4 linked regions of the Rattus norvegicus genome follow. The protein of the gene in region 1 purifies or fractionates together with the protein of each later gene. This does not show direct contact. Links are inferred from orthologs where the notes say so. Each region holds a gene or a part of one and is shown in the gene's direction. Other genes may lie near its edges. The genes, in order: Ap1b1, Ap1m2, Ap1g2 and Ap1s1.

Evidence for each region.
Region 2: the proteins of Ap1b1 (region 1) and Ap1m2 purify together in Homo sapiens (affinity purification with mass spectrometry; 3 studies listed by BioGRID and IntAct, counting the BioPlex papers as one, with this or other methods). This does not show direct contact. The link is inferred for Rattus norvegicus from reciprocal best matches to the Homo sapiens genes AP1B1 and AP1M2.
Region 3: the proteins of Ap1b1 (region 1) and Ap1g2 fractionate together in Homo sapiens (co-fractionation; 3 studies listed by BioGRID and IntAct, with this or other methods). This does not show direct contact. The link is inferred for Rattus norvegicus from reciprocal best matches to the Homo sapiens genes AP1B1 and AP1G2.
Region 4: the proteins of Ap1b1 (region 1) and Ap1s1 fractionate together in Homo sapiens (co-fractionation; 6 studies listed by BioGRID and IntAct, with this or other methods). This does not show direct contact. The link is inferred for Rattus norvegicus from reciprocal best matches to the Homo sapiens genes AP1B1 and AP1S1.

What each region holds. Positions count from the first base shown.
Region 1 is NC_086032.1:84,091,174-84,098,656, forward strand, and holds the start of Ap1b1 (AP-1 complex subunit beta-1), read left to right. Parts: upstream 1-2,398; 5' UTR 2,399-2,533; exon of another isoform or gene 2,534-2,636; intron 2,637-7,483. UniProt on the Homo sapiens protein: Subunit of clathrin-associated adaptor protein complex 1 that plays a role in protein sorting in the late-Golgi/trans-Golgi network (TGN) and/or endosomes.
Region 2 is NC_086026.1:28,127,728-28,135,251, reverse strand, and holds the start of Ap1m2 (AP-1 complex subunit mu-2), read left to right. Parts: upstream 1-2,609; 5' UTR 2,610-2,642; coding exon 2,643-2,684; intron 2,685-5,177; coding exon 5,178-5,334; intron 5,335-5,540; coding exon 5,541-5,608; intron 5,609-7,524. UniProt on the Homo sapiens protein: Subunit of clathrin-associated adaptor protein complex 1 that plays a role in protein sorting in the trans-Golgi network (TGN) and endosomes.
Region 3 is NC_086033.1:32,544,252-32,551,713, reverse strand, and holds the start of Ap1g2 (adaptor related protein complex 1 subunit gamma 2), read left to right. Parts: upstream 1-2,433; 5' UTR 2,434-2,487; intron 2,488-2,855; 5' UTR 2,856-2,856; coding exon 2,857-3,057; intron 3,058-3,529; coding exon 3,530-3,654; intron 3,655-3,794; coding exon 3,795-3,936; intron 3,937-4,040; coding exon 4,041-4,137; intron 4,138-4,311; coding exon 4,312-4,388; intron 4,389-4,514; coding exon 4,515-4,610; intron 4,611-5,110; coding exon 5,111-5,191; intron 5,192-5,356; coding exon 5,357-5,455; intron 5,456-5,605; coding exon 5,606-5,661; intron 5,662-5,814; coding exon 5,815-5,928; intron 5,929-6,075; coding exon 6,076-6,216; intron 6,217-6,295; coding exon 6,296-6,350; intron 6,351-6,424; coding exon 6,425-6,547; intron 6,548-7,060; coding exon of another isoform or gene 7,061-7,063; exon of another isoform or gene 7,064-7,140; coding exon 7,141-7,230; intron 7,231-7,305; coding exon 7,306-7,433; intron 7,434-7,462. Other genes in the region: Jph4 (junctophilin-4), read left to right, coding at 616-699.
Region 4 is NC_086030.1:25,266,765-25,273,680, forward strand, and holds the end of Ap1s1 (adaptor-related protein complex 1, sigma 1 subunit), read left to right. Parts: intron 1-3,066; coding exon 3,067-3,204; coding exon of another isoform or gene 3,205-3,351; exon of another isoform or gene 3,352-4,922; coding exon 4,923-4,970; 3' UTR 4,971-5,719; downstream 5,720-6,916. UniProt on the Homo sapiens protein: Subunit of clathrin-associated adaptor protein complex 1 that plays a role in protein sorting in the late-Golgi/trans-Golgi network (TGN) and/or endosomes.

The sequences.
Region 1 (7,483 bases):
ATGGGGCCAGAGTCTGACCTTAGCAGGTGCAACTGTGCTTGTTAGCACACAACAGTGAGGGGAGGGCGGTTCTTGGGAATGGAGGGGAAAAGCTGTCTGAGACCCTTTGGGGGTGGGGGAGACTTGGGCTGAGGAAGTGGATGCAGTTGTGGGGGCAATGTGCAGATTTGTTGTTTCTCTTTCCTGGAATTGCTTTAAGCAAGACAGATAATCTTGGGAAACAGGCTCTCTCACATTCTTCTCTGGGCTGAGCAAGGTCAGCTGTAATCTCATACAAATCCTGTTTTTAAAACCAAGGCACTCAATCAAAGATACTTTACCAATGACAATTTCCGGGTGTTAATATTAGCCTATGTGTGTGTGTGAGTGCGTGAGTGCGTGCGTGCGTGTGTGTGAGTGTGTGTGCGTGTGTGTATACTTATACATACATACATACACACACACATATATACATACATATATATATATTTATATGATGTCATCACTGAGCACTGAGGGAAGCTGGGTGAAGGATACATGGAATTCTTTTTTTTTTTTTTTTTTTTCTTTTTTTCGGAGCTGGGGACCGAACCCAGGGCCTTGTGGTTGCTAGGCAAGCGCTCTACCACTGAGACAAATCCCCAACCCCATACATGGCATTTTTGCTGTTGTTTTGTTTGTTTTTGAGACAAGGTCTCACTATTGTAACTTTGGAAAATTTCTATGCAGACCAGCCTGGCTTTGAACATACAGAAATCTATCTGGCTATGTGGGATTATAGGCATGTACCACCAAGTCTGGCCCCTTTTTTTTAGATTTATTTGTTTTTTATTTGAGACAGGGTTTCTCTGTGTAGCCCTGACTGTCCTGAAACTTTCCCTGTAGACCAGGCTGGCCTCAAACTTTGAGATCCACCTGGGATTAAGGTGTACACCACTACCACCTGCATGATTTATTTATTTTATGTTCGTATGAACATATACCATGTGCATGTGTGGTCAGAGGAGGGCTTTAGGTCCGCTGGGACTGGAGTTACAGATGGCTGTGAGCTGCCGTGTGGGTGCTGGGAACCAAACCCAGTTGTCTGGAAGAGCAGCCAGTGTTCTTGACTGCTGAACCATCTCTTCAGCCCAGCATATGGGATTCTATTTTGTCCATTTTTAACAATTTGCAGTAACTCTGCAAAGGCGGGTAGATTTTTGCTTGGTTCTCAGTTTTCCAGGTCAACCAAGGTGACAGGGATTCGGTTGTTAGAGTAGGATGCACAATGCTCTGAGTTAGATTGCCAGCATTACATAAACCAGACATGGTAGTGCGTTACTGTGATCTGAACACTGGGACTGGCTTGGGTTACATAACAAGATCCTGTCTCAAAAACAATAACAAACACACAAATAATAAAATAAAAAAGTCAGACATATCACATCTAGGAGGATAACCAAGTGTTAAAAAGTGATTGTCTCGGGGCTGGGGATTTAGCTCAGTGGTAGAGCGCTTACCTAGGAATCGCAAGGCCCTGGGTTCGGTCCCCAGCTCCGAAAAAAAAAAAAACCAAAAAAAAAAAAAAAAAAAAAAAGTGATTGTCTCAGGAGCCTACCTACATGGGGTTTTTTTGGTCTTCTTTTCTCTTACTAACATATTTTTTCTCTGCAATGCAGATATTATTGGTTTAATAAAAATGTTAGAATAGAGGTTTTATAATGTCTTAAAGGGGATGAACACAAGTTATCTATTAGAAAGAGAAAATTAACAAGACCAAAGTCAGGAATGAAATGGCTGTGTCAGTTGAGGTCCCGGCCAAAGGGACTAGCTATACTCCCTTGCATGAAAATCTTTTTTTTTTTTTTTGAGCTGAGGACCGAACCCAGGGCCTTTTGCTTGCTAGGCAAGCGCTCTACCACTGAGCTAAATCCCCAACCCCCACTGAGCTAAATCCCCAACCCCGCATGAAAAGTCTTAGATGTAGCATATGTTTTGCCTCCTAGTACAATGAATTTTACCAAGGACAGCAGAAAAAGTCTAACTTTTTCCTAGCAGAAAGGCGCAGTCTGGCTGGCCTCTGATCAGATTTATAGCTCCGGTTTTGACTTTCCACTTTGATGTTGGCCTCAGTTTCCCCATCTGTAACTTAGAAAGAGTTGGACTTCCAAGAGTCTTCCAAGACCCTTTCGATCCCATGGTGCTTGAGAGGGAGCCTGAACAAGGATTTTGAGCAAGGACACCCCATATTGCCTTTGCCGCCTGGCGGGCCCAGGCCCTCAATCCTCACAAAGGCCGGCTCTGCCGAGGCTCCGCCCTTCCCACACAGGCTCCGCCCAACAGGTCTCCAGCCCCTCCCGCCGGGTTGCACCCTTGACCCCGCCCCCGGGGTGTGCGTCCACCGGAAGTTCCGCGCGCTGGCTGCTCACTTCCGCTCGGCAGGTGACAGCGGTGGGGCTTGGAGCGGCCGGCTGCTGCTGCTGCGACGCACCGGCGGAGAGGGAGGAGGAGGCTGCGGACATTTTGCTGCTGAAGCGAGCCGAGCCGCGGCACCAGGAGCCGTTTGGATTTGTGGGTGAGGAAAAAGGAAACCCAGCGAGATAGGTGGAAAACTGAAGGGGTTCGAGGTGAGGGGTCTGCGAGGTCAGAGGTCACGGAGAGGACGCTACGCTGGAGAGGTACGAGCTGCGAGTGGGCGAAAGTGAAAGGGCTGCGTGTTCATTCATTCACGGCGGCTTGGCGGCCCGGCGTCAACCGGTCATCTCAGGTCCGCAGTCCTGTTTGAAGAGGACGGCTGGAGAGACTCCTGGACTTAGGCCTCTCCTGCGCTCTGCTTTTCCCCTCCTTGGCCAACCTGAGGTTTCCTCGTTCAGGGCCTTATCTCTTGGCCACCGCCCCCAGAATGGGGCAAAAATCTAGAAATGGCCTTATGCCGCCAGCCCCTGGTCCTTTGGATCATCAGGGACACGTTGACAGAATGGAGACACTTGTACTAGTGCTAACACAACAGTGTCTGTCAGTGGTTATCCAGTGACTTCGAAGCTATGTGCTAAGCACTTTGTGTACTGAGCTCACAGCAGCCCCTGTAAGGTAGCTACCATTGCTTTACCCTTTACTCCTGAGGACACAGAGACACAGGAGGTTAAATCACACATGGAAGGTCATTCGAATAGTAGAGGCAAAGCCAGACTTCCTATGCAGGTCTCCAGAACCGTAAAAGCGAAGGGACAAAGGCACCTGGAGCTGGTTTGGGGTCTCAGAGTGCTTTCATATATTGTCGCCATGATATTGTTTGGATTGATGTCAGGATGCCGCCTTCTCTACTCTTGTCTGGTCTGATGTTCATGAGGAGCGTTTGGTTCACTTTCGTTAGGAGGCTGTCGGTCGCAGGTTGTTGCTGTCAGGGCAAGAGGCTGAAGGTTTTCCTGACTCTTGGGAACTATAAGACACCAAATGGGCTATTCATGACACTAATATTCAGACTTTCCCTTCATCCCGTTTGCGCTTTTTTTTTTTCCTTTTGCAGTAAAGAGGGGGACAACAGGACCTCTTAGGGGATCATTTGGTCCTCGGTTCAGAGGGGCTTTGACCTGTCAGGGTGCTGGGAATGAGTAGTCTGCCTGGGAGATGGGAAGGTCACTTGGTGGCTGAAGGGTGAGGTTCTCCTCCTTTGTAGACATTTCCTTGCTCGGCTTGCCTTAGTTTCCCTGACAGCAACACAAAAGAGACTTACAGTCTTCCTACTTCCTCTTGAGTGCAGGGAACTGTGATAAGCCTGTGAAGGTTTCCTTGTGCTTTTGAAAAAAGTCGCAAGCCAAAATGTTTAATTAATTACCTCTTCTTTTTTCCTTTATTGGATTTGTTTAAAATTTACATCTCAAATGTTATCCCTGTTCCAGGTTTCCCCTCCAGAAACCAGCTATCTCCCTCTGCTCCCCACCCCAACCCCCTTTTTTTTTTAAAGCCAGTCTCACTCTGGCCCAGTCTGGCCAGGATCTCGTTGTGTCTTGAATTCATAGCACCCCTCTTGTCTCAGTCTCCCAAGTTCTAGGATTGATTACAGAACTGAACTACCACACCCAGCTTTTCTGTCCTGTCCTGTCTGTCTGTCTGTCAGTCATGAGCTCAGTTCCATTGAATTCACAGAAACTTAATAGTGTCACCTTATCCTATCCTTCCAAGGGATAATTGAAGACAGAGCAACTCTTAGGGACATAAACAGAGCCCTGGCACTCTGTCCTGAATCCAGCCCACCAGACTCCTTTGCCTCTCTTAGGAACTGTCAAGAGGGCTTAGCTGATCCCAGAGAATCAGACTTTCAGTGTCTCTGTAGAGATCATCTGATGAGTGTGGGTTGACTGAAGCTTCACACCGGGTAGTTTGAGGGGCTCAGAGGGCCAGTGGAATGAGCACTCTGACTCCTGCCAGTCAGCTGCTGGCTCTAGCCCCAGGTCAGCAGCTTCCTAGCTGTGTGACCTGGATAACTCATTTCAACTGGGTTTCTAGCCTAATAAAATATGTAGATAAAGTGGTAGAGCACTTCCCTGGCGTTTGCAAAGCTGGTTCCTGTTGCCAGCATCAAGAGAAATAAGGGTTTTGGGGAGACATGGTGGTCCATGACTAACCCCAGCCAGCACTTGTGAAGCTGAGGTGGGAAGAGGCCCATGTGATTGATCTACATGGTGTGTTCCAACCATGGCTACATAAAAAGACCTTGTCTCGGAATAGTCATAAGAAGACACTGGGAGGCCTCCCGTCTGTAGGTGTTGCATGAGGATATCTTGCAGAGCATATTACTATTGACCTGAAGCCATGGTACCTGTTGGGGCCTGCGTCTGGAAAAGGCTGTCTGCCCCGTGAGGTTACTGCTTTCTTCTCCAGTTAGACCTTTAAATGCTTTGAATACCACTCCTGCTCTCCTCACTTCTCAAAAAGAGTTTGAGAACAGTTTATTGTGGGTCCAGCTGGGGCTGGGGCTGGACTTTTCATCTTCTCATGTCTGACTGCTCACTTCCCCCAAAGCCTGCAGCGCTGACAGGAAGCAGGCATGGTTTGGGTAGGCTTTATAGTCTGCTGTGCTTCAGACGGTTGAGGGGTACTTGGTCCTTGAAGGCACTTCTGTTTCTCAACAGGTCTTTTTTCCTAAGATATGCTGCTGAGATTTTCATAACCAGAAGGGATTTATTTGCTCCTTCCTTCCTTCCTTCCTTCCCTCCTTCCTTCCTTCCTTTCTTTCTTTCCTGATTTTTTTATCAGTTTACATAGAGAGAAAAAAAATACTGTAGGGAGAAAATTGGGGAAATTAAAAAAAAAATTACTACTTAGCTAGATTTCGTGGCGCATGATTTTAACTTAAGTTAATCCCAGTACTTGGGAGGCAGAAGCAAGCAGATCTGTGAGCTTGAAGCCAGCTTAGTCTACAGAATGAATTCCAGGACAGTCAGAGCTGCACAGAGAAACCCTGTCTCAAAAACCAAAACCAATAAATAAAAAAATATTAAAAAAAATCCTCCTTGGAAATCTGTCAGTGGTTCCTCCTCTCCCTCAGTGGAAGCTAACTTTTCAGCATAGCCTCCAAGCCTTCCAGGCTCTGACTTCTGCTGGTTCTCCATCTTCAGCTTCCCATTCTACTCCTTGGCCTTCTGGTCATATTAGACACTGCCACCTCTGCAAGCTGCTCCTGTGCTCCGTCTTCCATCTGTGCTCGTCCGTCTGCACAGCCCACTCCTGCTACTCTCGCCCGGGCTACTCTTATGGCCTCCTTTGCTGGACTGCTGCCTGGTGCTTGCCATTTGCTCATCATCCCCGTCTTGCAGAGGCCTGAGCTGGCTGCCCCTCTCGTGTCCTGTGGCAGTGATCACCGTGAATGTAATTGTCTGCCTGCTTGGCTGCCTTCTTAGTAAAGATCTCTTAATCCTTAGCAAGCATTGTCTGAACTGTGCGCCTTCAGCGTCTAGCGAGGTACATGGCGCACGGGCAATGTTTGAAAAGTGGGGAAAGATCAAATGGATGGATAGCCCATGGCGTCGTGAGGGTTCCGGGTGATGGTCTGTGCGTCCTCATGCCATCGCAGTGGGATAGGGGAAGTGTGGCTGTTAGAGGGACTTACGTGCTTCAAGCGTCCATTGCTGTTCCCAGTCAGCAGAGTGCCTGAGCCGAGTTCTGGGAGCAGGGAGATGGCAAACCTTCAGGAGTGTTGGCTGATGGTTACCGAAAGCGGGCTGGATTCCGCGTGTGCTGACCTGTTTTATCTTTGTTAACCTCTATTTCCAGGATGCATCCTGTTAGCTAGTGGGGCCAGAGCTTGACTGTGGTTCCAGGTTTGAGGTTCCCTTGTGTCTTCAACCTTGGGCTGGACCTCTAATAGGATGATCTCCAACTATTTTAAGGGTTAGTGTAGCTGGTTGACTACGGAAGGTCCAGAGTCCTCTAGTTAGGATACCATTGTCACTCTGATCTTCCCAGGTTCTGATCTGATCCTCTTAGTACATCGGAAGATGACAGAATTGAGAGGATGATAGAATGGGGAGGTCATACTTCAACATCTCTTATTTTACCTTCTGTATGTGTGTGTGCATGGTAAAAGACATCTCCCAGGGGGTTGGGGATTTAGCTCAGTGGTAGAGCGCTTGCCTAGGAAGCGCAAGGCCCTGGGTTCGATCCCCAGCTCCAAAAAAAAGAACCAAAAAAAAAAAAAAAAAAAAGACATCTCCCAGGACCTGGCGCTCTCCTTCTGCCACGGGAGCTCAGTTCCAGGGATTGCACGCAGGTTTGTCAGCCTTAGCAACGAGTGTCTCTGCCCACGGGGCTCCTTCTCTTGTGTTTTATTTTTTAGTACTAGGGGATAAACCTTGGCCTTACACACCAAGGAAGTAGACCACCCCCACCTATATTCCCAGTTCTCACAAGCTTTTTCAAAAGTTATGTTATGTATATGTAAGCTCCCTGCGCACACGTGTGCATGGCATGTGAGAGTTTGGTGCCCTTGGAGAGCAGAGTAGACAACAGGTCTCCTAGAACTAGAGTTACAAACAGTTGTGAGCTGCCATGTGGATATTGAGAACCGAACCTGGGTCCTCTGCAAGAGCAGCAAATGCCTTTAATCCACAGAGCTGTCTCTCCAAGACCCCTTAAAAACCTTTAATTACATTTATTTATTTGTGTGGGTTCAGTGACATCGTTGCCATAGCCTGTGAGAACCAGAAGACAACTTTTGGGAGTGGGTTCTCTTCCACCACTATCAGGGTCCCCCTCAGGGCTCAACTTAGGCTATTGGTCAAAGACTGTTGCCCACAGAGCCATCTCACTGACCTCAACAGCTTTAGAGCCCGTGCTCTGGTGTCCGTTGTAAGTCCTTCCCTGCATTGTCACACACAGGAGTAGACTTGGGCAGCCTACACTCTGACCTACATCCTACTTGCTTTTTGGTCTTAAGCTCTTTGAGATGGAAGGAGTTTTTGTGTAGCTAGCTGTTGGGTCTGCTTCTGTCTTCATGTTGAACAGTTGAAGTGCTTGGTGTTAGGAT
Region 2 (7,524 bases), on another chromosome or scaffold:
GGGACAAGACAGTGCTAGTCTGTTCTCTGCCCCTACTAAGGCTCTTGGTCTCATGAATTTTTTAGCTAAATAGGCCTTGAGTTTCAGATTCCAGGGCGCCGGGCCCAGGCTTCTGGGTTCCATTTACCATGTGAATGGATCTCAGGTCCCAAGAGAGTTTTGCTGGTTTTGTGCTGTGCACATTCAAGTCCAGAGGCCCGAGGACAACTCCAGACACACTCCCTCCTCAGGAGCCAGCCACCTTTCTTTAAAATGATACTTAATTTATTTTTCGTGTGTACGTGTAGAGGTCAGAGGATGACCTCCAGGAGTCGGTCTCTCCCATTGGTCATGGAGCACCTGGAGACTAGACCCAGGTGCAGAAGGAAGCACCTTTGAGCCATTTCACCGACCACCCCTACCCCCCACCTTATTTGGAGTTGTGTTTGGTTTTTAGTCAAGGCGACAGTCAGCCCTGGCTGACCTGGAACTGACTATAGAGATCTGCCTGCTTCTACCTGGAGAGTGCTGGGATTAAAAGTCCCAGGGATCTGCCCACCCCACCCCCAACAGGGGTGAGCCCAGCCCAGGCTGCAGATAATCAGGAAGGATCCCTCTCCTATGAACTTGTGAGTGGAGCCAAGCTAAAAGCTTGGGGCTGGAGCTCAGTTGGTAGATCATGGGCCTAGCACGCAAGATTGCTTGGGTTCTAGCCCCAGCACCACAAAAACGGAGCATAATTGTGGATTCCTGTGATTCCCCAGCACCGAGGCAGATAATGGTTTCCAGGCTGTCTGGAACTATATAATAACACTAATAACAAAAGCAGACAAACAAAACCGTTGGATGACTGTACCCTCTTGGAGCTAACCTTCGGGCTCCTTATCTTGCCAAGCGAAGCTATCAGCAGCTCTCTGGTTCCCTCAAACGGTTATCCAGAAAATGATGGCTTAGTTTAGCGGGTAGAGTTTGCCTAGCATACCCAAAGTCCTGGGTTCCACCGTTCAGGAGTTCAAGATGCTCCTGTGCTGTAGAAGGCTTGGGCTAGACGGGTCTTTAAAAAGGGTGTAGGTGTGGTTATCTGTAGCGTTTCTTCTTGGAAGGTATTTATGACAAGCGTGAAGATTACACAACTACTAGTAAGGGTTAGGTGGAAGAGTTGGGAATTTAAGGTTAGTCTGTCCTATACATGGAGGCCCCGGTCAAAAACATTAAGGGCTGGGGGTATAACCAGGGGCACAGTGCTAGCCTGGCACTGGCAACGGTGGGCATTCAATCCCCCTAGGGCCGTAAAAACAACCAGAATAATGGAAGAGTGGCTTGTTAACCTGGCTGTGTGGTCCTGAGACAGACTGACTGTGCTCGGCTCGTAAGCTCTTCATACAGGCCCCATCTCTGCTTTAAGACAATTCCCGTGGGCGATTCTCATAGCTCCATCTGGACTCTGGGCCTGATAAAGGTCGGCGGCAGCCACGATGCCCAAGCGGGCTTTGTCGCCCCCTGGCGGCCTCTCAGGAAACGTTTCTTCCACAGCGGAGCGCTATGCTTAGGCTTGGTTAAGGTTTGGAGTGGTTTTGGTTTTTTTGTTGTTCCCCCCAACACACACACTACCCTCCGCAAAACGGTATCCCAGCAACGGGAAAGTAGAGACAGAACGATCTTGAATTTAAGGATAGCTTGGGCTTTAAAAAAAATGAATGAAATTAGAAAACAAAAAACAAAGTCAGGCCTGGTGGCTCATGACTGTAATCACAGAACTTGTAAGGCTGTGCCGGTCTGGACCACATAATGAACTCTTCTAGAATTAACAACACAACACAACACAAACGATAAGCAAAAACAAACAAACAAAAAATTACACAGGCGCCTTTAATCCCAGCAGACACAGGCAGCCAGCCTGGTCTACAGAGTGAGTTCCAGGACAGCTACGGATACACAGGGAAACCCTGTTTTGAAGAAAAAAAAAAAAAACCCAAACCAGTCAATCAATAACAACAACAACAACTATAACAGAAAGTAGTAAAATGTATAGTGTGAGAAGGATTACATTACTGAACACCTAGTGGTGGGCACCGGGTCACACATAGAAAACAGGCAAAGTCCTGTTGATACTGTAGGTGTAGGTGATTGAACAAGCTATACAGACACATGAACAGACGGATGCCCTGGTGGGTGGGTGGATGCGTGGGTGGGTTAGTAGATGTTGATGTGAATGTGTATATGTATGTGGGAGGGGGTGAGGGATGGATAGCTGACTGGAATGGGAGTGTGGGTGGAGACGGGGTGGGCGGATAAGAGGATGAATGAATAGACGTACGGTGGGCGAGGGGGGCGGTGGGTGAGTTGAAGGATCAATGGATAAATGTCCTGGAGTTTCACCATCCACCCAGGCATTCCTGATCCCCAAAGAAACGTGGGTTAGGGCTGCAGTCGCACCTCTGTTCTGCCTTTCCTAGCTCTTGGAGCAGCCTTGGCATTTGCTGCCGACCGTGCCGCTCACCTGGCGGCCTCCCCTTTAAGACGCATTCACCTGGCGGCCTCCCCTTTAAGACGCGCTCACCTGGCGGCTCACCTGGGCGAAGGCGCTTCCGCAGGAAGAAGGAAGCAGCAGCGCTGCCGCCTCTGCAGCTCGCTCTCGCCTCCTAGCTTCACCGGGCGCCACCATGTCGGCCTCGGCAGTCTTCATTCTGGACGTCAAGGGCAAGGTGAGGCAGAGGGCAAGGGATCGTGGTTCGACGGGCGAGCACGAGGGCCCAGGGCACAGGACCGGGAGCTGGGGACCCGCCCTCTTCAGCCGGCATCTGTGGCAAGGGGTTTCACCTCTCTGAGCGTCATTTCTCCTGTTTGTAAAAATGAGAATAAGAAAGATATCCACCATCTGAGCGCCCTGAACCAGTGAGCACAGCCCTTCTGCAACTCCGGAGTTCAATAAATGGGCCAAGTGTAACTCTGGAGTAGAAGGCCATACCCCTATCCTTGCAAGTCGACTGTCGCTTCTCCTGTGACAATGACAGCAGTAGAGATGAAAACGAGATCCCTGTAACATAATGACACAAGGTCGTGTGCCTCAGTTGTCAGCCAGCTGGCCTAGCACACAGACCTAGGTGTGATCCCAGTGCACTGCATAAACAGTCCCAATTCCAGCTCTTGGGAGGTGGAGGCAGAGGGATCAGGAAATCAAGGGAGTTTGAATCGGGCCTGAGCTACGTGACACTCACTGCCTCAAAACCAAAACAGGCTCAACAAGCCCAGACACTGGCTGTGTAAGTCTGGTAACCTGACCCAAACCCAAGTAAAGGGGAATGGAGACAACCTACAAAGTTGTCCTCTGACCACACCCACACAGACACACACAAACACACAGACACACAGACACACACAAACACACAGACACAGACACACACGCACATGCACACACTCCATACACACAAAAAATAGTGCCTGTAAAAAGATCCAAGAAGGACAAGGAGGCCAGGTGTTTTACCATGCACCTGTCACTCTAGCTACTGTGGAAGCTGAGTCAGAGAGATGACCTGAGCTCAGGAGGGCAAGGCCAGCCTGGGCTACAATAGCAAGACAAAGAAATAAATAACCTTGAACAAGAACGGCCCAGGAGGGGAAGAGGTTCAGGTCCACCTCTCAGCTTTTTGTGGACATAGTTTTAAACCTCAGCTTCTTCAGTCTGGAAAATGGACCCAAAGACACCTACCTCAAGGCTGAGGCAGGCACTGAATTCCTCAGGAAAGGTTCTTCCTCCTCTTCCTCCTCAGTGGTGGGGGCGGAACCCAAGCTAAGCCAGCATACTGCCACTAAATTACGTCTTAAAGATTTTATTTATTTATTTATTTATTTATTTATTTATTTATTTATTTATTTAATGTATACCTAACTGTCTGTAGACACACCAGATCCCAATACAGATGACTGTGTGCCACCATGTGGTTGCTGGGATTTGAACTCAGGACCTCTGGAAGAGCAGTTGGTGATCTTAACCACTGAACCATCCCTCCAGCCCAACTAAATTACATCTTAATCCTCCTCATACTATTTAAAAATTACACTTATTTGCTCTGCCTGTGTGAGAGTCTGTTCTGTCCTATCCCCACGTGTGTGGCTTGGACCTCTGGCCACCAGGCTCGGCAGCGAGACCCTTCAACCACTGAGAACCCCTGAGTTCTCTTGCGGTCCCTCCTGTGCGGTTTAAATTTGAAATGGTATCTGGTTGAATTCCCCAGGCTGGCTTCAGATTCACTCTGGAGCTTTGCTAGGCTTTGGACCTGCTATCCTTTTGCCTCAAGCTTCCCTGCTAACTCTGACGACAGGCCCTTGGTAAGAAAGACAAGGCCCAGCACGTCCACTGATTGATGTCGGAAGGACCTCATACGCAGTAGGATGGTCCTCTACTGCTGAGCCCATGTTCCTTATTTTTCATTTATTTATTTTTTTGTCAGAACCTCATGTAGTTTAGGTTGGCTTTGCACTTACTATGTAGCCGAGGATGGCCTTGTACTTCCGCCTCTACCCCCCAAGCCCATCCCCAGCATAACACGTACTGGCAGAATGTTGATGGTGTTCAGTATGCACCCAGGACACTTTTAGCTGTGGGTGTCAGGTACCTACATAACAGGCATGAAAACCGAGGCGTACAGAGGTAGAGTCCTAGCTAGGCCCCTCACTGAATTGCACACAGAGTGTGATATGGTGACAAACACTGTGACCCCAGCACTCTAGAAACCGAGGCAGGAGGATTGAGAAGTTGAGACCAGCTGGGGCTTCGTAGAAAAGGTGCCTAAATTAATCAGAAAAGGAAAGACAGTCGGGGAGGTAATTTACTCCTAGAGGGTTTGTAACATTAGCTCTCGCCAGGATGGAAGCAGGGGGATCAAGAGTTCAAGGTCGGGGCTGGGGATTTAGCTCAGTGGTAGAGCGCTTACCTAGGAAGCGCAAGGCCCTGGGTTCGGTCCCCAGCTCCGGAAAAAAAAGAACCAAAAAAAAAAAAAAAAAAAAAAAAGAGTTCAAGGTCATCCTCTGTGACATCTGGTGTCAAGGGCAGCCTATGCTACCTGAGGTATCATCCCCTCCATAAAACAAAAGAGGCCAGTGTGGGGGGCATAAAAGAAAGTTAGAAGAGAATTAGACATCCTAAGGCCCTAGGTCTGTGCGCTGGTGGTGACTTAGTCCTGTCTCTCTCCCCTTAGCCTCTGATTAGCCGAAACTACAAAGGCGATGTGCCCATGACGGAGATTGACCACTTCATGCCTCTGCTTATGCAACGGGAGGAGGAGGGTATGCTGGCCCCGCTGCTGAGCCACGGCCGAGTGCACTTCTTGTGGATCAAACACAGCAATCTCTACTGCATCCTCATTGTGGGAAGGAGCGCCAGGAACCTGATTCAGAGGGCGGTGACCTAAGAGCAGGATTTGCCCGGTTCATGTGCCTTAACTCAGGTTGTGCCTGGGGTAAGGGGTAGTAGAAATGGGGTGGGGGCGGGGGGCATAACAGGGGACATGTAACTCCACTCCCTCAAAAATGGCGCATTTTCCTTAACCTTACTGCACCAGTGGTGGCCACCACACTGAAGAACGCCAATGCCTCTCTGGTGTACTCCTTTCTGTACAAGACTGTGGAGGTAGGTCCTGGCCTCTCATTAGCTAGCTGGTCTGGCCTCTCATTGGCTAGCTGGTCTGCTTGTCTGCTGGTTAAGCTCGCCCCTGTCAGATGCCGGCTTCTGACCATGCCCATTAAAGCCTCCTCGCAACCTCTCACCCACAGCTGAGCTACATACAGGTCTAATCCCTTGCCTCTGTGCCTGGAACGTTACAGGGTGCTATTGTAAGTAGGGGAGAAGGAAAAGAATGAAGTACTGTAGAGAAAGTGTCCCCAATAGAACATAGTGGACAAAGAGGCTTTGAGGTGTGAACAGAGCTAAGCCGAGGGGTTCAGGCAGAGCGAGCTTCAGATGCTGAGGGAGGACGTCTTCCTCCCCAGGAGATGCAGGTGTGCATCCGTGTGCTTGGCACTGGAAGTGCTCCAGAAGTCGGAATCTTTGGGAATGTGTGTGAAGTATTCTAGACTTGAAGAAATGTATTTGTGGTTTCAGGTATACATGAAACACTTTAATCAGTGTTTCTCAACCCGGGGGCTGCGACCCCTCTGGGGGTCGACTGGCCCTCCCACAGAGGTCACATAGCAGATGTTTGTGTTCAATTCATAACAGTAGCAAAATTACAGTTATGAAGTAGCGATGAAATAATTTTATGGTTGGGGTCACCACAACAGGAGAAACTTTATTAATGGGTTGTAGCATTAGGAAGGTTGAAAAATCACTGGATAGATAGATAGATAGATAGATAGATAGATAGATAGATAGATAGATAGATATGAATGAATGATATTTTTCTTTCTTTTTTTGGTGGGCAGTGTCTCACTTTGTAGTCCTGGCTGGCTTAGAACTTGGTGTAGAAACCAGGCTATCCCTGAACTCACTTCCAGGTGCTGAAATTAAGACATGTACCACAGTGCCCAGCAGCAAGATAATTTTAAAATTTTTTGCAATTTATGTGTATGAATGTGCCTGAATGTATGTTTGTGCACCACATGCCCAAGGAGGCCAGAGGAAACCAAAAGTTTTTTTGTTTTGTTTTTTTTCTTTTTCTTTTTCTTTTTTCTTTTTTTTTTCTTTTTTTTGGAGCTGGGGACCGAACCCAGGGCCTTGCGTTTGCTAGGCAAGCGCTCTACTGCTGAGCTAAATCCCCAACCGAAACCAAAAGTTTTATTTATTTTTTTCTTGTGTGTGTGTGTGTGTGTGTGTGTGTGTGTGTGTGTGTGTATAGTACCTGCAGAAGCCAGAGAAGGCATTGGATTCCTTGGGTCTGGAGTTTCTGCAGGAGATTCTGAACAGCTATGTGGGTGCTGGGAACTGAACCAGGGTCCTCTGCAAGAACAGCAAGCATCTTTTTTTTTTTTTTTATTCATTTATTTCATGTATATGAGTGCACTGTTGCTGTCTTCAGACACACCAGAAGAGGGCATCAGATCTCATTACAGATGGTTGTGAGCCACCATGTGGTTGCTGGGAATTGAACTCATGACCTCTGGAAGAGCAATCAGTGCTCCTAACCACTGAGCCATCTCTCCAGACCTCAGAAAGGCTTTTAATTATTTTATATATTTTTAGAAACTTGAGACATGATTTCAGCTCTACTTACCTGGAACTAATAGAGACCTGCTTGCTTCTGCCTCCCAAGTGCTGATAATAATGATAATTTATTAAAATAAAATTGGGAATAGTTTGTGGTGCTGCTTGTTGGTCATGCATGAAGACCCGAGTTCAGTCTTCAGCATCTACATAAACAGCTGCACAGTGCACGCCTCATAGGGCTCGCCTCACAGGGCTCGCCTCACAGTGCCCGCCTCACAGTGCTCGCATCAGCTTGGGAAGCAGACACAGTGGATTCCCTGGAATTTGCTGGCCAGTGACCCTAGCCTAGCCAATGAGCTCCGGGAACAGTGAGAGGCCCTGTCTCAAGAAAACAAACGGGGTTG
Region 3 (7,462 bases), on another chromosome or scaffold:
AGCACTTTTTCCTGTTCTCCTTCCATATCATTTCCAGCCCCAGTTTCCTGCTCCACCCCCACCCCCACCTCCAGACTTTCTCTCTTTGGTGCCCAGAAATAGGAAAAAATTGTTCCTCCCAACCCTCACTCTCCCTCCCTCTCCTGGGGGTTAGGGGGAGGCTGTGCAGACAGAAAATCGAGAGAGGTGGAGAGTTTCTCCAGAACCCTCTGCTCTGATTGGATTCCAGGCCTTCTCCCATCTCCTAGCAACCACATCCTCCCTCACCCCTTCCTCCCTCTGCCTTACTGCAGTACTGGCTGCTGCTGCCAATGTCTGCTGCTAAGGCCAGGCACCTTCTGCCTTGCCCACATGATACGCTGAGGGATGGGGAGAGCGGTGGTGGTGGTGGTGGGTGGAGGCAGTGCCTTCTATCTTCAGAGTGTGAGGGCAGGGCTCTGCAGAGAAGCGAGGCTCTTCACAGTCTGAAATCAGCTCCTCTACTCTTACCTGTGTGTGTGTGTGGGGGGGGGGGGGGTCTGGGACCTTTCGGCTTTGCCAATAAAGCCAGGGCAGGGAGGTGGGACCTACACTTGCCTTCCCGGACTGACTTCACTTCGCCCTCTGTCTCTCTAGGGAGCTGCCAACCCCCTGGTGGTAGGAGCTGTGGCCTTGCTGGATCTCAGCCTGGCGTTCCTGTTCTCCCAGCTCCTCACCTGAGGCAACATCCTGGCTTCCTCCGGCTTGGTTGCCTGCCTCTGCACCCACTCTGACCTTTGACCTGCCTTCTCTTCTCTCCTCCTCCACCTACCTGTGTTTTCCCCTTTCCTTTCTCCCAGGCCCCTTTCTTTTTGTCTCTTGCTTCTTCCTTCCCTCTATTCTTTGAGATGGTCTCATTTATTCTGGACCTGTCTCTGGTCTTCCTGGTTTTCTTTCCCACCCCAACCCCTCTTTCTCTAGATTGTTTACATATGAAGGGCTGTTCTCTCTCAGAGTTGCTCTCTCCTCTGAGATACACAAATCTAAGTCAGACCATTGCCCCCCATGTCCTCCCCAACCTTTTATTTGAATCAAAACTTCACCAAGGGTAGGGGTTTGGTGTCCTAAGGAATCTCCTGGAATCTGAGTGGAAGGGAGAAAGAGAACACTTATGAAGTGACTGAGTGGCCAGACTAGGCACTGGCTGAGCCACTTGGGGCTCACTGGCCCCCATGGAAAGCTTCAGGGAGAGTACCCTCCACTCTTACCTCCCAGAACCTACCTAAGTTCTTGCCTAATTCAATCCTTCCCTGAGGGAGAAAAGGGGAGCGAACAACAGGAAGCTCCCCATGCTCCCTCTCCTGTCCTCCTCAGCCAGTCCCTCTCCCAACCCCCAAGGATGGCACGCCAAGCCAAGAGCAATGGGCAAAGCAACGAAAACCATCTGGTACACCAAGCCCGCCCCTCTCAGACTCTGCCACTCACCTCTCTACCCTTCTCCGCCCCCTGAAAATTTATTTGGTTGGTCTGGACTCACTTGTGGCCTTTGATTAAATTCCTAAGGGGCCTGAAGAAGACATTTCTGCCCAGGGTCAGAGGCACTGCAGCAAGCAGGGACCCCACTCCAGCTCTGGCGGTTGTGGGGAGCACACGGAAGACGAGGACTGAAGGGCAGCAAATGCTGCCACAAGTCTAGTTCCCAAGCCCTCACATAGACTCCTGTGAGGTGGGAAAATAAAGGGGATCTGAGGAACTCGCTCGCTGTCTCCCACACTTTCAGGCAGGGCAGAGGTGGGTGTCATCCCCAGATGAGAGGTGGGTGAAGAGCCTGTCTGAGATACGCTTGATCCATCGTCACTAGCTTATCCTCTGGGGACAGAAAGCTCTACAAGAGGGAACTGTAGAAGCCCGGGGGACTCTCCTTCCCTGCATGAGGCAGAGGCAAGCGGCCTGCCAATCCCCTCCTCAAGGAACGGCCTTGCCTGGGAATGCCCACCACACAACCTTCTTATTTTTCTAGTCAACCTCTGTTTACTCCCTGGCCTGCCTTCCTCCCGCCTTCCTTCCTTCCTTCCTTCTCGATCTTTACTTCTGATTTCTATTTCATGGAATTTGGGATTGACGTTATACAACAGTGCCGACAACATCAAGTCTTGCAGGAAAAAAAAAATACAAAGAAATTTAACAAAAAAAAGTATATTAATAAAAAAGTTCCAAAAAGGGGGGGACTGTCATCTCCTTTGGGGTGCAATGGCTTCTGACCCAAGTGTCACCTGATGGGGCGGATGAAAAATGAGGCCCCTGGGGGAGCCATAGTCCTGTAACAATTCTAGGTTCCTTTATCAAAGTACCAAAGAGGCCAGAGGTCAGAAATCTCAAGTAGGCTCAGCAAGGAGGCCCTAGAGGGGCGGGTCCCGTGGTAGAGGCGGGGAAGAGGGAAGGGCCCGAGCAGCGCACCAACCCCAGCTCTGTCCCATACCAGGAAGTCCTGGGTAGGGGGTAGAAGAGCAAAGCTGACACCGGAGCCAGGTGAGCTTGGGACTGGGGAGCCTTCTGTGGGAATGGGGGCGAGAAATCTCGCAAAGGCAATAGCGCAGAAAACCAGGAGAAAAACTGGAGAAGAGAATCTGGCCGGGGAAGGAGAGTGAGAAATAGACTGATCTGAAGCGCAGGCTCAGTAGAAACAGGCACAGGGTGGAGCAAGGACGCATGCGTAGTGGGGATGTCCTTGCGAGGCGGGAGAGTGGCTCTCGGGTCCAGGTGGGAGGTAAAAGTGGACACGGTTTTAGGTCGGCGGTGGAACGCAATCCTTTAGAGATCTTGGCTCAGGGCAATTCTGTCCAACCGGCTAGAACGTGTTAAATTAAGCCTTTCCAACTCCCGGGCTCTGTCCCCAGGATGGTGCCTTCGTTGAAACTTCAGGACCTAATCGAAGAGATTCGTGGGGCCAAGACGCAGGCCCAGGAACGGGAGGTGATCCAGAAGGAGTGCGCCCAAATTCGGGCCTCCTTCCGCGATGGGGATCCCCTGCAGAGACATCGCCAGCTAGCCAAACTTCTCTACGTCCATATGTTGGGCTACCCCGCCCACTTTGGACAGGTACTGGCCTGGGATGGCCCCAAATTTTGAGGAAGATGGCCATTGCGCCCCTTTGTATTTGTACCCCCCGCTGTGTTTTTTTTCCGCCAGATTTTTTGTTTCCGAAACAGGTTCTGTATAGTCCCGATTGACCTAGAACTCGAGAAAACCCTGCCTCCGTTTCAGTGTGGGGGTTTTCAGGCATGCCTCACCCTGCCCAGTTAAATCCTTTGGCTTCTGAGCCTTTTATCCATCACCCTACTAGTGATTTCTTGGCCAGCCCCGTTCAGCACCTCCCCATCCTCTTCCAGCTTCTACTCCTACACAGGTCCCTGAAACCACCCTGCTGTCATCTGGATCAACACTTAAGCCTCTGGTTACAGAGAGATGAAATATGATTCCTCACGTTAATCTGGCCTAAAGGAGGTTGTAGCGGGGAAGTTAGTGCCTGTGGTTTCACCCTGCTCCTCCTGGTCTGCCTCATTCCCTATAGATGGAGTGCCTGAAACTGATCGCCTCCCCCAGATTCACAGACAAGAGGGTGGGCTACCTTGGGGCCATGCTCCTATTGGATGAGAGACACGATGCCCATCTGCTCATTACCAACAGCATCAAGAAGTGAGAGGGTCCCGGGGCCCTTGAAATCAGGGCGCTGGGAGAGTGGGAACCGCAAAATCCCAGAGGGGCTGCCTGCTATCGGTACTGCGCCGACGAACTGGTTTGCTCAGATTTGACTGACCATCCTTCCAACCTTACAGTGACCTGAGCCAAGGGATTCAGCCAGTTCAAGGCCTGGCCCTGTGTACTCTGAGTACCATGGGCTCTGCTGAGATGTGCCGGGACCTAGCCACCGAGGTGGAAAAGCTGTTTCAGCAACCCAGCCCCTATGTGCGTAAGAAGGTGAGATGTGGGCGTTTGCCTCTCCAGAACGTGCTCTCAGTCTGCCGTGGAAGAGGCATGGCCTCTAACGTGGTGGCCCTTTCTGAGGCCCTCGACCTCTGCAGGCTATCTTGGCTGCAGTGCACATGATCCGGAAGGACCCCGAGCTCTCCAACATCTTCCTCCCACCCTGTACCAAACTGCTTCGTGAGCGCCATCATGGTAAGGGTCCAGGGATCTCCACTGTCCACTTCTGGTCTGGCTATGAATAGATGACGTGAAAAGCAAATCAGGAAGAGCAGCTCATCGGATAAGGGCGGTGCACACACACAAACACACGCGTAGTAGACTGTCCCATGGCCTGGCCCACCATTCACTGCCCCGCCCTGACCCCAGGCACCCTGCTGGGCACCATCACGCTGATCACGGAGCTCTGTGAAAGAAACCCTGCAGCCCTCAGACACTTTCGCAAGGTGGGCTAGTGAAGGGGCAGGCCGTGGGGCAGGCAGAGGTGGATGGTGGGTGCTCAACTGGGACTGATGGTTGAGAGGAGACAGACAGGCAGAACTCAGACAAGGCTGGATGTGCCCGTCTTCCAGGTAGTGCCCCAGCTGGTACAGATCCTCCGGACTCTGGTGACGACAGGATACTCCACAGAGCACAGTATCTCTGGAGTCAGCGACCCCTTCTTGCAGGTAGGCTGAGCTTTACTTGCCGTATTCCCAGAACAGAGAAGGCTTCTCAGGAAGACCTTGGCCAGTGGTCACTTCCCGTTTGGTCACAGTCCATGTCTTGAATAAGAAGGTAGTGAACTCAGGATTGCCCTAGTTGTCCTAAGACTGGGGAAATGAAAGGTGGCTACCAGAAAGTCCAGTTTGGTAACCATTAAAAGGCCTATTCCAAAGCCCAGTATGGTGGCCGAGGCAGGTGGATTAAATGAGGCCCATGAGTGTGTAGTGGGCCGGGTTCACAGAGTGAGTTCCAGGACAGCCAGGGCTACAGAGAGAGAGAAAAAAACCCTTCGGTTTTAAACTCCCCCAACTCTATGTAACTCTGACCTCCTCCCAGCTCATCTAAGGGAGCTGTAGAGGTGAGAAAGAGTTGGGCCCCTTGCAGTATTTGTTGTCTACACTGTTAGGTCTTTTTGCCTCGGGCCCACGACCCTACCCTGTGAACCACTCTGATCCAATCTCAGGTCCAGATACTCCGCCTACTTCGGATCCTCGGACGGAACCATGAAGAAAGCAGCGAGACCATGAACGACTTGCTGGCCCAGGTGGGAGGCACGCCTTAGGCCTTGTGGTTTCTTAGGGTCCATCAGGCCTGCATACTCCCCAGAGGACCATTCACCACGAAGAGGCCTTTCTGTCCCCGCCCAACCGACGAAGTCCATGCATTCACTGGAACCCTGTACAGATGCACCTCTCCCCCATCTGCACAGGTAGCCACCAACACAGACACCAGCCGAAATGCAGGCAACGCAGTCCTGTTGGAGACAGTACTGACCATCATGGCCATCCACTCTGCAGCTGGCCTCCGGGTACCACTACACAGTCATGTGCTCTTCTGCTGTGGCCCCACCTACTCAGCTAGTCCTGGTCCCTGGCTTTTCCCTAACCCCCATCATGGAGGAGATCCCACTGAACAAGTGGCTTCTTCCCTTACTGTCTCCACCTTCTTCCTCCCACAGGTTCTAGCTGTTAACATTCTCGGTCGTTTCTTGCTCAACAATGACAAGAATATCAGGTAACAGCCAGTATGGGGCTAGATTGTACCACTATCCACCTGGCCCTCTGCATTCCTCCCTTCGGATCCACCTAACCCTTAGGTATCCTGGAGGCAACACGGGTTATCAAGGCTGGTACGCCCATGTGATGTGGCCTCTCTTACCCTGACCAGGTATGTAGCTCTGACATCGTTGCTGCAGCTGGTACAGTCTGACCACAGTGCTGTGCAACGTCACCGGTCCACCGTGGTAGAGTGTCTACAGGAAAAGGACGCCTCCCTTAGCAGGTAAGCAGAAGGAGAAGGGAGAAGGGGACAGGGCAGAGGACACAGCACCCAGTGGCCGAAACTCAAACCAGCTCAAGAGCATCTGGGAATAGGGAAGCCAGAACAGGGTGAGCTCAGCCATCTGCACGGATGCCTTTCTCTCGCCAGGCGGGCCCTGGAGCTGAGCCTGGCCCTGGTGAATAGCTCCAATGTGCGAGCTATGATGCAGGAGCTGCAGGCCTTTCTGGAGTCCTGCCCCCCTGATCTTCGGGCTGACTGTGCCTCAGGCATTCTGTTGGCTGCAGAGAGGTAAGTGACATGTGACTGGGAGTCAGAGGGTGTGGCCTGGGAAGGGACAGTGTCAGCGCTGATGAGCCACATCCCCTAGGTTTGCTCCCAGCAAGCGGTGGCACATAGACACCATTCTGCACGTGCTGACCACGGTAAGAGGCGGGTAGTCAGGGAATTGGGCAGCAGTCAGCAGAGCCCTGACTTGGCTGCATCCACCCCTCTCCAGGCAGGCACCCATGTGAGGGATGATGCAGTGGCCAACTTGACCCAGCTGATTGGGGAGGCCGAGGAGCTGCATACCTACTCCGTGCGCCGCCTCTACAGTGCGTTAGCAGAGGATATCTCCCAGGTATCATTCCTGTCTTCCCAGGTCCGGCTGACCAGCCTTCTCAATTCTAGAAATTGAATGCTTTCCCCCACAAGCATAGAAAATTGAACCAAGGACCAAGCCTACCTTTTATTTAAGCTTCTGTCCTGCCCCTGGTGACTACTGGCTACATCTCCAGATAAATAATTGTAATCCCTCTAAGCTCCATGTCCTCAACGTTCTAGAAATGCCTACCTCCCAGGCTGTCTTCGAGACCAAAAGTTGGCACATAGAGTAGTCACTTCTATTATTACTTTCAGTGCCAAGTGGATTAACGGTGACAGCCTAAGATACCTATAACTCCCTCTGTCAACTTGAGTAGAGTAGGTAGAAACCATCTCTGTTTTCTTCTCAGGCCTCCGTCCTGTGATCACGCTATGTAGTTTTGTTGCTTGCCCACCAGAGGGCAGTAGTAGCCAAAAATGCTAAGATGGAGCCTATTAAACTTAAAAGTCTCCTCCCTACCCTGCCAACCCCACCTTCTTTGCATTGCAGTAAAGGGGATTTGTTGGGTCTAGAGGAGAGGACCCCACCCCGCACCCAACCAGCCCCTCAGTGTCTCATCTCCCATCCAGCAACCACTGGTTCAGGTGGCGGCCTGGTGTATTGGCGAGTATGGAGACCTCCTGCTGGAAGGTAACTGTGAGGAGACGGAGCCTTTTCAGGTGAGACCTGAGGTGTGAGCGAGACCCTGGGGAGGATTCATCAGGACAGACATGACGTGTTGCCCACACCTGAAGGTGGAAGAAGAGGACGTGCTGGCACTACTGGAGAAGGTGCTCCAGTCCCACATGTCCCTGCCAGCCACTCGAGGCTATGCTATCACGGCTCTCATGAAACTCAGCACCCGGCTCCAGGGAGACAACAAGTAAGAAGGGGCTCCTGTCCCATGAGAGA
Region 4 (6,916 bases), on another chromosome or scaffold:
TCTTCCTTTCCTTCTTCTCTAGAGTCTCACTATAGGGGTTGTGGAGACGGCACAGTGGTTAAGAACTCTGACTGCTCTTGCACCAGAGGACAAGGAGCACCCACGAGGCAGCTCACAATCACCTGTAACTCCAGTTCCAGGAGCTCCCACCCCTCGCACAGACATATATACCAACAAAACAGCAATGCACATTAAAAAAAAATAATAAATTGCTATTGAGGATCTCGCTAGGTAGCTCTGGCTGGCCTAGAACTCGCTGTGTAGACCAGGCTGGGCTCCAGCTCCCAGTAGATCTGCCGGCCTCTGCCTTCTGAGTGATAGGATTGAAGGCGTGTGTCAAAGGCTCGTTTTATTTATTTTCTATGTATATGTGCGTGTGTCTGTCTAGGTTAGTGCATGTGAATTCGGTGCCTGCAGAGGTTAAAAAAGGAGAGGGTGTAGGCTTGCCTGGGGCTGGAGTAACAGGTGGCTGTGAGCCTCCCTTCCTGGGTATATGGAACTGGACTCAGGTCCTCAAGGACAGTAGGTCCTCGTAACTCCCGAGCCATCCCTCCAACCCCCGCCTTGGTTTGGTGTTTGCTTGTTTGCTTTGTGAGATGTTTGTTTGTTTTACTGCATTGTTCATTAGTTGAGGCAGGGTCTGGCACTGCCCTGGAACCCCTTGGTTCAGCCTGGGGAGCTTCATGTCTCCCCTCCCCCACACTGGGGTTACAATAAGCAACAATGTATCTAGCTTTTTCTACATGGGTTCCGGGGACCCAGCTCCTCGGGCACGAGGCAAGCACGCGGTACACACACATACATGCAGGGAAAACACTCGTGCATGTAAAAATAGATGATGACTCTAAAGGATTTTTTTCAAGGTGGTAACCCAGAGCCCCAACTTCCCATAGATTCAGAATGAACTTCTCTGATGTGTGATTGACAGAGGCTGCAGACCTTAGGTACAGAGTAGGCCTGCCTTCACAATGTGCAACACCGTCAATGATGTCTAAGGCCCGATCGGGTTCTACTCACAACTGTTGGTACCGGGGATTGAACACAGGGCCATGCTCCTGTTGTCGTACTTCCCTCTGCCATAGACTACACCCCCAGTGTTCTTTTTGTCCATTTTTTTTTATTTGTTTGTTTTTTCAAGACACGGGTTTCTCTGTAGCCCTGGCTGCTCTGGATCTCACTCTGTAGACCAGGCTGGCCTTGAACTCACAGTGATCTGGCTGCCTCTGCCTCCCGAGTGCTGGGATTAAAAGTGTGCACCACCACCTCCCAGTTCCGTTTTTGTTTTTAAGACGGTGTGTTTAAGCAAGTGTCTTAGCCACTGCTCTACGGCTGTGAAAGGCACCGTGACCAAGGCGACTGTCGTAAGAGAAAGTGTTTAACTGGGGGCTTGTTTTATAGTGTCAGAGGGTTAGTCCATTGTCATCCTGGGGGGAACACAGTGGTATGTGGGCAGGAGCTAGAACAGAAGCTGAGAGCTACATCCTGATCCATAAGTAGGTAGATAGGGAGGGAGGGACAGAGCGGGGGGAGGGAGACAGAGAGACTAACTGACTCTGGGTTTGGTATGAGCTTTTGAAACCTCAAAACCCACCCCTAGTGACACACCTCATCCAAAAAGGCCACACTTCCTAATCCTGCCAATCCTTTCAGACTGTCCACTCCCTGGTGACAAAGCATTGAAATAAATGAGCCTATGAGGGCCATTCTTATTTATTTATTTATTTATTTATTTATTTATTTATTTACAGCCTAAATGCTGCCCCAACCCAGAGTCCCTCCTCCCATCCCTCCTCCCCCCTCCTCTGAGAGGGTTGGGACCCCCTTGTTATCTCCCTACCCTGGCACTTCAAGTCTTTGCAGGATTAGGTGTATCCTCTCCCACTGAGGCCAGACAAGACAGACCTACTGGGGAAGCAGATTCCACAGTCAGGCTACAGCTTTAGGGAGAGCCTCTGCTCCAGTTATTGAGGGACCCACATCTCGGAGACTGAGCTGCACGTCTGCACACACGGGCCTCGGTCCAGCCTGCGTGTGCTCTTTGGTTGGTGGCTCAGTATCCGAGGGCTCCCTTTCAGTCAGGGCCTTCAGTCCTTCCCTCAGCTCTTCCAGAAGAGTCCTGACCTCTGTCCAGTGTTTAGCTGTGGGCCTCTGCATCTGTTTCAGTCAGCTGTTCTGAGGGCCATTCTTACTCACACCCGCCAAGCCAGCATTCAGCCAACCAGCTAAGGTGCATTCCCAGCCTGACTTAATCGACTGATTTTGTGACACTTCAGGTTGCACCTAGGCCTCAGGCATTGTTACTTTGTGTCTGACCACTGAGCTGTCCCCCCAGCCTTTTTTTTTTTTTTTTAACTTTTTATTTTGAGACAGGGTCTCACTATATTGTCCAAGCTGACCTCAAAGTCATTCCATAGTTCAGTTCTGCATCTCGTCTTCAAGAGCTAAGATGAGAAGCCTATACCACCCCACACGCCTTATGGGGTTCTCTGGTTTGCTCTTCATCAATCTGAGGAGTTGACGACGCATCATCTCCTTCTAAAGCGAGGGCCAGGGTGTTCTCTGCCCCAGAGTGCCTAGGTTAGAGGCTAACCCAGGGTGCGGCAGAAGCCATATTGGATATTTTAAGGCATTTTAAGAGGAAAGCAACAGCAACCACAGACTTCTAACTCCTGATCCAGAAGATGAGGCAGTGAAAGCAGGAGCAGGCATGGTGACCTCTGCCTGTAATCCTAGCACTGAGCCTGAGGCAGGAGGATTGGGAACTCAAGGGCAGCCTGGGGGAAAGGGCCAAAGCACTGTAGGCTGAGGCCCAGGAGGATCTAAGGCTCTCGGAAGGAACTCACTGTGGGGCAAAGGACCTGCTTCAGTTGGTAACGTGCTTGCCTTTCATGCCCAGAGCCCTGAGCCACATAATGGTGCCCCAGCATTTGAGAGGTGGAGGCAGGAGGATTGTTTGAGGACGGGTTCAGGGGCAATCTGGAGTACAGGAGACTGTCTAGGGGCGTGATGCAGGAGGGAGGCTGGGTGTTCCTGGTACTCAGCTCCGCCCTCTCCCCCTTCTCCCAGGTATGCGAGTTGGACATCATCTTCAACTTTGAGAAAGCGTACTTCATCCTGGATGAGTTTCTGATGGGCGGGGACGTCCAGGACACATCCAAGAAGAGTGTCCTCAAGGCTATCGAGCAGGCTGACCTGCTGCAGGAGGTACGAGCCAGGGACAGTGAGGAGGAGGAGGAGGAGGAGGACTACTGTGTCCGAGGGGATTCCCCACCCCTCGCACATCCTGCCCGGCGACGACAAGTGGGCCCCCCTCCCTGTGGCGTCTGGCCCCCATCACGCCCTGCTGTCTAAGTTGTCCTGAGTCCTGAACCCATGGAGCAGGAAAGAGGTGGGTGGGCCGGTTGCCCACCACAGTTGTCTCCTCTTTCATTCCAAGCTCTGGCCCTTCCTAAGACCCAAGATGACTGCCTTATTCTGGCTTAGTCTCTTTTGACTCGATGATTTTCATGATGATAAGGGTTGTTTAGAGAATTGGAGACTGGTTCATAGTAGATAAGCCTTTTCTTCCTTGATTTACATCTATCTGCCTGCCTGCCTATCTGTCTGTCTCCCTGTCCTCTATGTATCTGTCTGTCTTCTATGTATCTATGTATCTATCTATGTGTCTGTCTGTATATATTTCTCCCTCCTTCTCTGTCTGTCACTGCCTTTCTGTCTCTGATGGAGGCTGGGGCCCTGACCCCCTGCTTTGCACTTCTGTTTGTAACATGAGGGGGTCTGTGTATGTACATGTGGGGAAGAGGCCAGTGGCTGAAACCGGGCATCTCCCTCAGTTATCCTACCTTATTTTTCCAGAGTCTCCCATTCAAGCTGGAGCTCATCCATTCAGCCAGGCTGATTGGCCATTGAGCTTCAGGGATCTACCTGTCTCAACTCCCTCCCCACAAAGCACTTGAACTAGAGACCCAAACCTCCACTCCAGGCTTCTCTGGGGTTGCTGGGGATTTGAACTCGGGTCTCCATGCTTCCATGGCAGATCCGTGTCATATCATGACTGAGCAGCAGTCTCTCCAGCCCCGCCTAATCCTCCCCTTTAACAACATGTATGCACACACCCCCTTTGCTCAGGAACTAACATCGTGGGGACGTGGGGCTGCCTGGAGGGTGTCTGTTAGTTCTCCCTGCTGCCTGGTATCCCTACCCTCTCCTCATCCCTGCTTGTGCCCTCTGCTGTGCTACTGCTGAGCCATGGTGCAGGGTGATGAGTCACCAGGACTCTGCAGTGACAAGCAAGCCAGCGAGAGCTGGCTCCGAGGAGGGGAGAGGTGGGGTCCACGAGGGAGGTCAGCCTTGCAGGGGGAGAAACCGCAGAATGAAACTCGAGGTCACCCCACCCATGCAGCCTCCCTTCATCCCCTGTCACACACACATGCACACAGGCAGACGCGTGCGTGTCCCCTGGTTACTAGACACTAGTGACTCATCACTCTGAAGTCTACCTTTCCTCTCCTTAGGAGTCTGGCACCAATGGCTTACTGCCTTCCCTCTCTGAGAGGCACGGGCCAAGCATCCGCACTACCTACCCCTGGAAATCAGGGTTCCCCCTGCTCCTCCCGCCCCACCCAGCTTCATACCTCTAACCCATGGGTTCTGAAGCTGCTCACCTCCTCCCCCAGTTCCTAGCTTTAGACTCTGGGTGATGATGAACTTGGCCTCTTCTACCCTCCTTGCCACTGTGGGTGCTGGGAATGGTGTCCTGAGGCCCGTACCCCCTGAGGACTTGCAGTGCTCCAGCCTTGGGCTCATATCAGCTTCTCTCCCCCCACCCCTGTGTGTGTCTGCTCTTCCCCTGACTCCGATTCCGTCATCTCGCCCACCCTGTCTACCCTTCCTGGTGTCTGCGTCACCCCTGTCTGTCTCAGGAGGATGAGTCGCCGCGCAGTGTCCTGGAGGAGATGGGCCTGGCATAGCCCCGTCAGCCAGCGGGGGGCCCTGTGGAACCGGGGGAAGACAAGACAAGAGACAGCACTTGGGGCTGTTTCCTCTCACCTCTCCCCCAGACCCCTTCTCGTGGAGGGACCCGGCCGCTTTTCCTCGGCCACCTCACCTACTTAGAAGGAGCTGTGGCTCCAGCCCTACATACAAACATTCCCTCCCTCCAGGTCTTCCTCCCCCACCACCGTCCGTTCCCACTGAAGGCTTTAGGGGCTAGAAGGGAGGGGAATGTGACCGGATGGGGATGCCCAGTGGCTTTCATTCTCCTTCCTTTGAAGAAGCAATGGCAACCCCAGCCGTCCTTCGTCCTCCCTGTGTCCCGAATTGCTGTAAATATATAAATATGTCAGGTTAAAGGGAAAAGGTTTCCAGGGCTCTTTTCTCCCCTCTGCCCCCAAACCTACCTCCATCCCTCCCCAGAACCAGTCAGGGCAGCCTCTCTGCCTCGGAGGGAGGGGCTTTCTTCTCCTGGGCCCCACTTCCTCCTGGGCTCAGTGTCTAGCCAGAGCCAGGGGAGGAGCCACACAGTTAATGTTTTTCTAACCTTGCTACTTGGAGGGAAGGGAAGGTTGGGGAAGGACCTGCTTTCTGGGACACTGACCCTGTCCCCCTTCCTCCTCTCCACGTTATGGGTGTGGCAGGAGCCAAGCGGGTGGGGTGGGCCAAGTGGCTGCCTTTATTTCCTTTCTTCTGAAATAAAAGGAAAAAGTGTTTCTGGACTTGACTTGCCTCTGGCTTTGTTGGAGAAGACGGACATCCACCCTGAGGTCAAGGGCAGCTGCCTGCTAATGTCTTCCTGGGAGCTGGGTCATTGTTCTTGGGAAGAAAAACTAAAAATAGAAGATGCCCAGCTGAATGTCAGATAGACAACAGGTTTTGTCGTTTTGTTTTTTTGGAGGGTTTTTTTATTGTTTTGTTTTATGGGCTAGGATAATGTATGGCCTCGTGCAATGGAGGCAGAGACTACCAACCGAGCTACAAGCCCTCAGTTGTTTGGTCTTGAATTTTGAGACAGGTTTTGCAGCTCAGAGTGACCTGAATTCAGGGTTGTTCCTGCTGTCCCTGGGATATCCTGGGTTCAGGATGCTGGGAGATAAGCATGTGCCAACCATATCCCAACCCAACAGGTGCATTTCAAATTTCTTTACATTCTGAATCAGGGTCTCATGTGATCTAGGCTGACCTTAACCTCGATATGGATGGGAGGATAAACTTGAATTGTCTGATCTTCCTGCCTCTACTTCCAGAGATGCTGAGATCACAGGTGTGCAACAGCACATCCTGATGAATGAAAGCCTTCCTAAGTGCAGGGCAAGTACTGGCCCAACTGAGCCACGGCCACAGCCCCAACAGATAAGATAATAAGTGTGTCCCATGCACTATGGAAAGGTTATTCTGGAAGGGGGAAAGCATCTACTGCTTCTCCAGAACTGGAAGTTTAAATGAGTATCTTCTGCTCTGTCTAGTAGCCCTGCCCCAAAGAATTTTACACACTGCTTGTAACTACACATAGCCCAGAAAGGACGAGTCCTGGCACCATGGGTTTTCTTCTGAGGAGTCCGTGTGGAAGGTAGCCATTCGCCTCACTTAGTTTTGTTTGGGGGAGGTAATTAAGAAGAGATGGCTAAAAGCAGGATGTGTGGGGGCTAGCCCCTTCTCCCCAAGTTTCCAAGAATTCAGGGTATTTGAAGGGAAGGCTGGATGACTGGGGATAGGGGAGGTTCCCAGATTCCCAAGTAGAATTTGTATGGTGCCATTTTTCTTTTGAGTCGTAAAAGCTTGCTTATTCCAACCAACTGGCTCTTTTCTTGTTTGTTTTGTTCCCCAACCCCAACTCCTACCAACTGAGCCACGTCCCCACTCCCAACAACTGGTTCTTGTTGGACTCCCTTCTTTCCTGGGTCAAAAACTGGGAACAAGG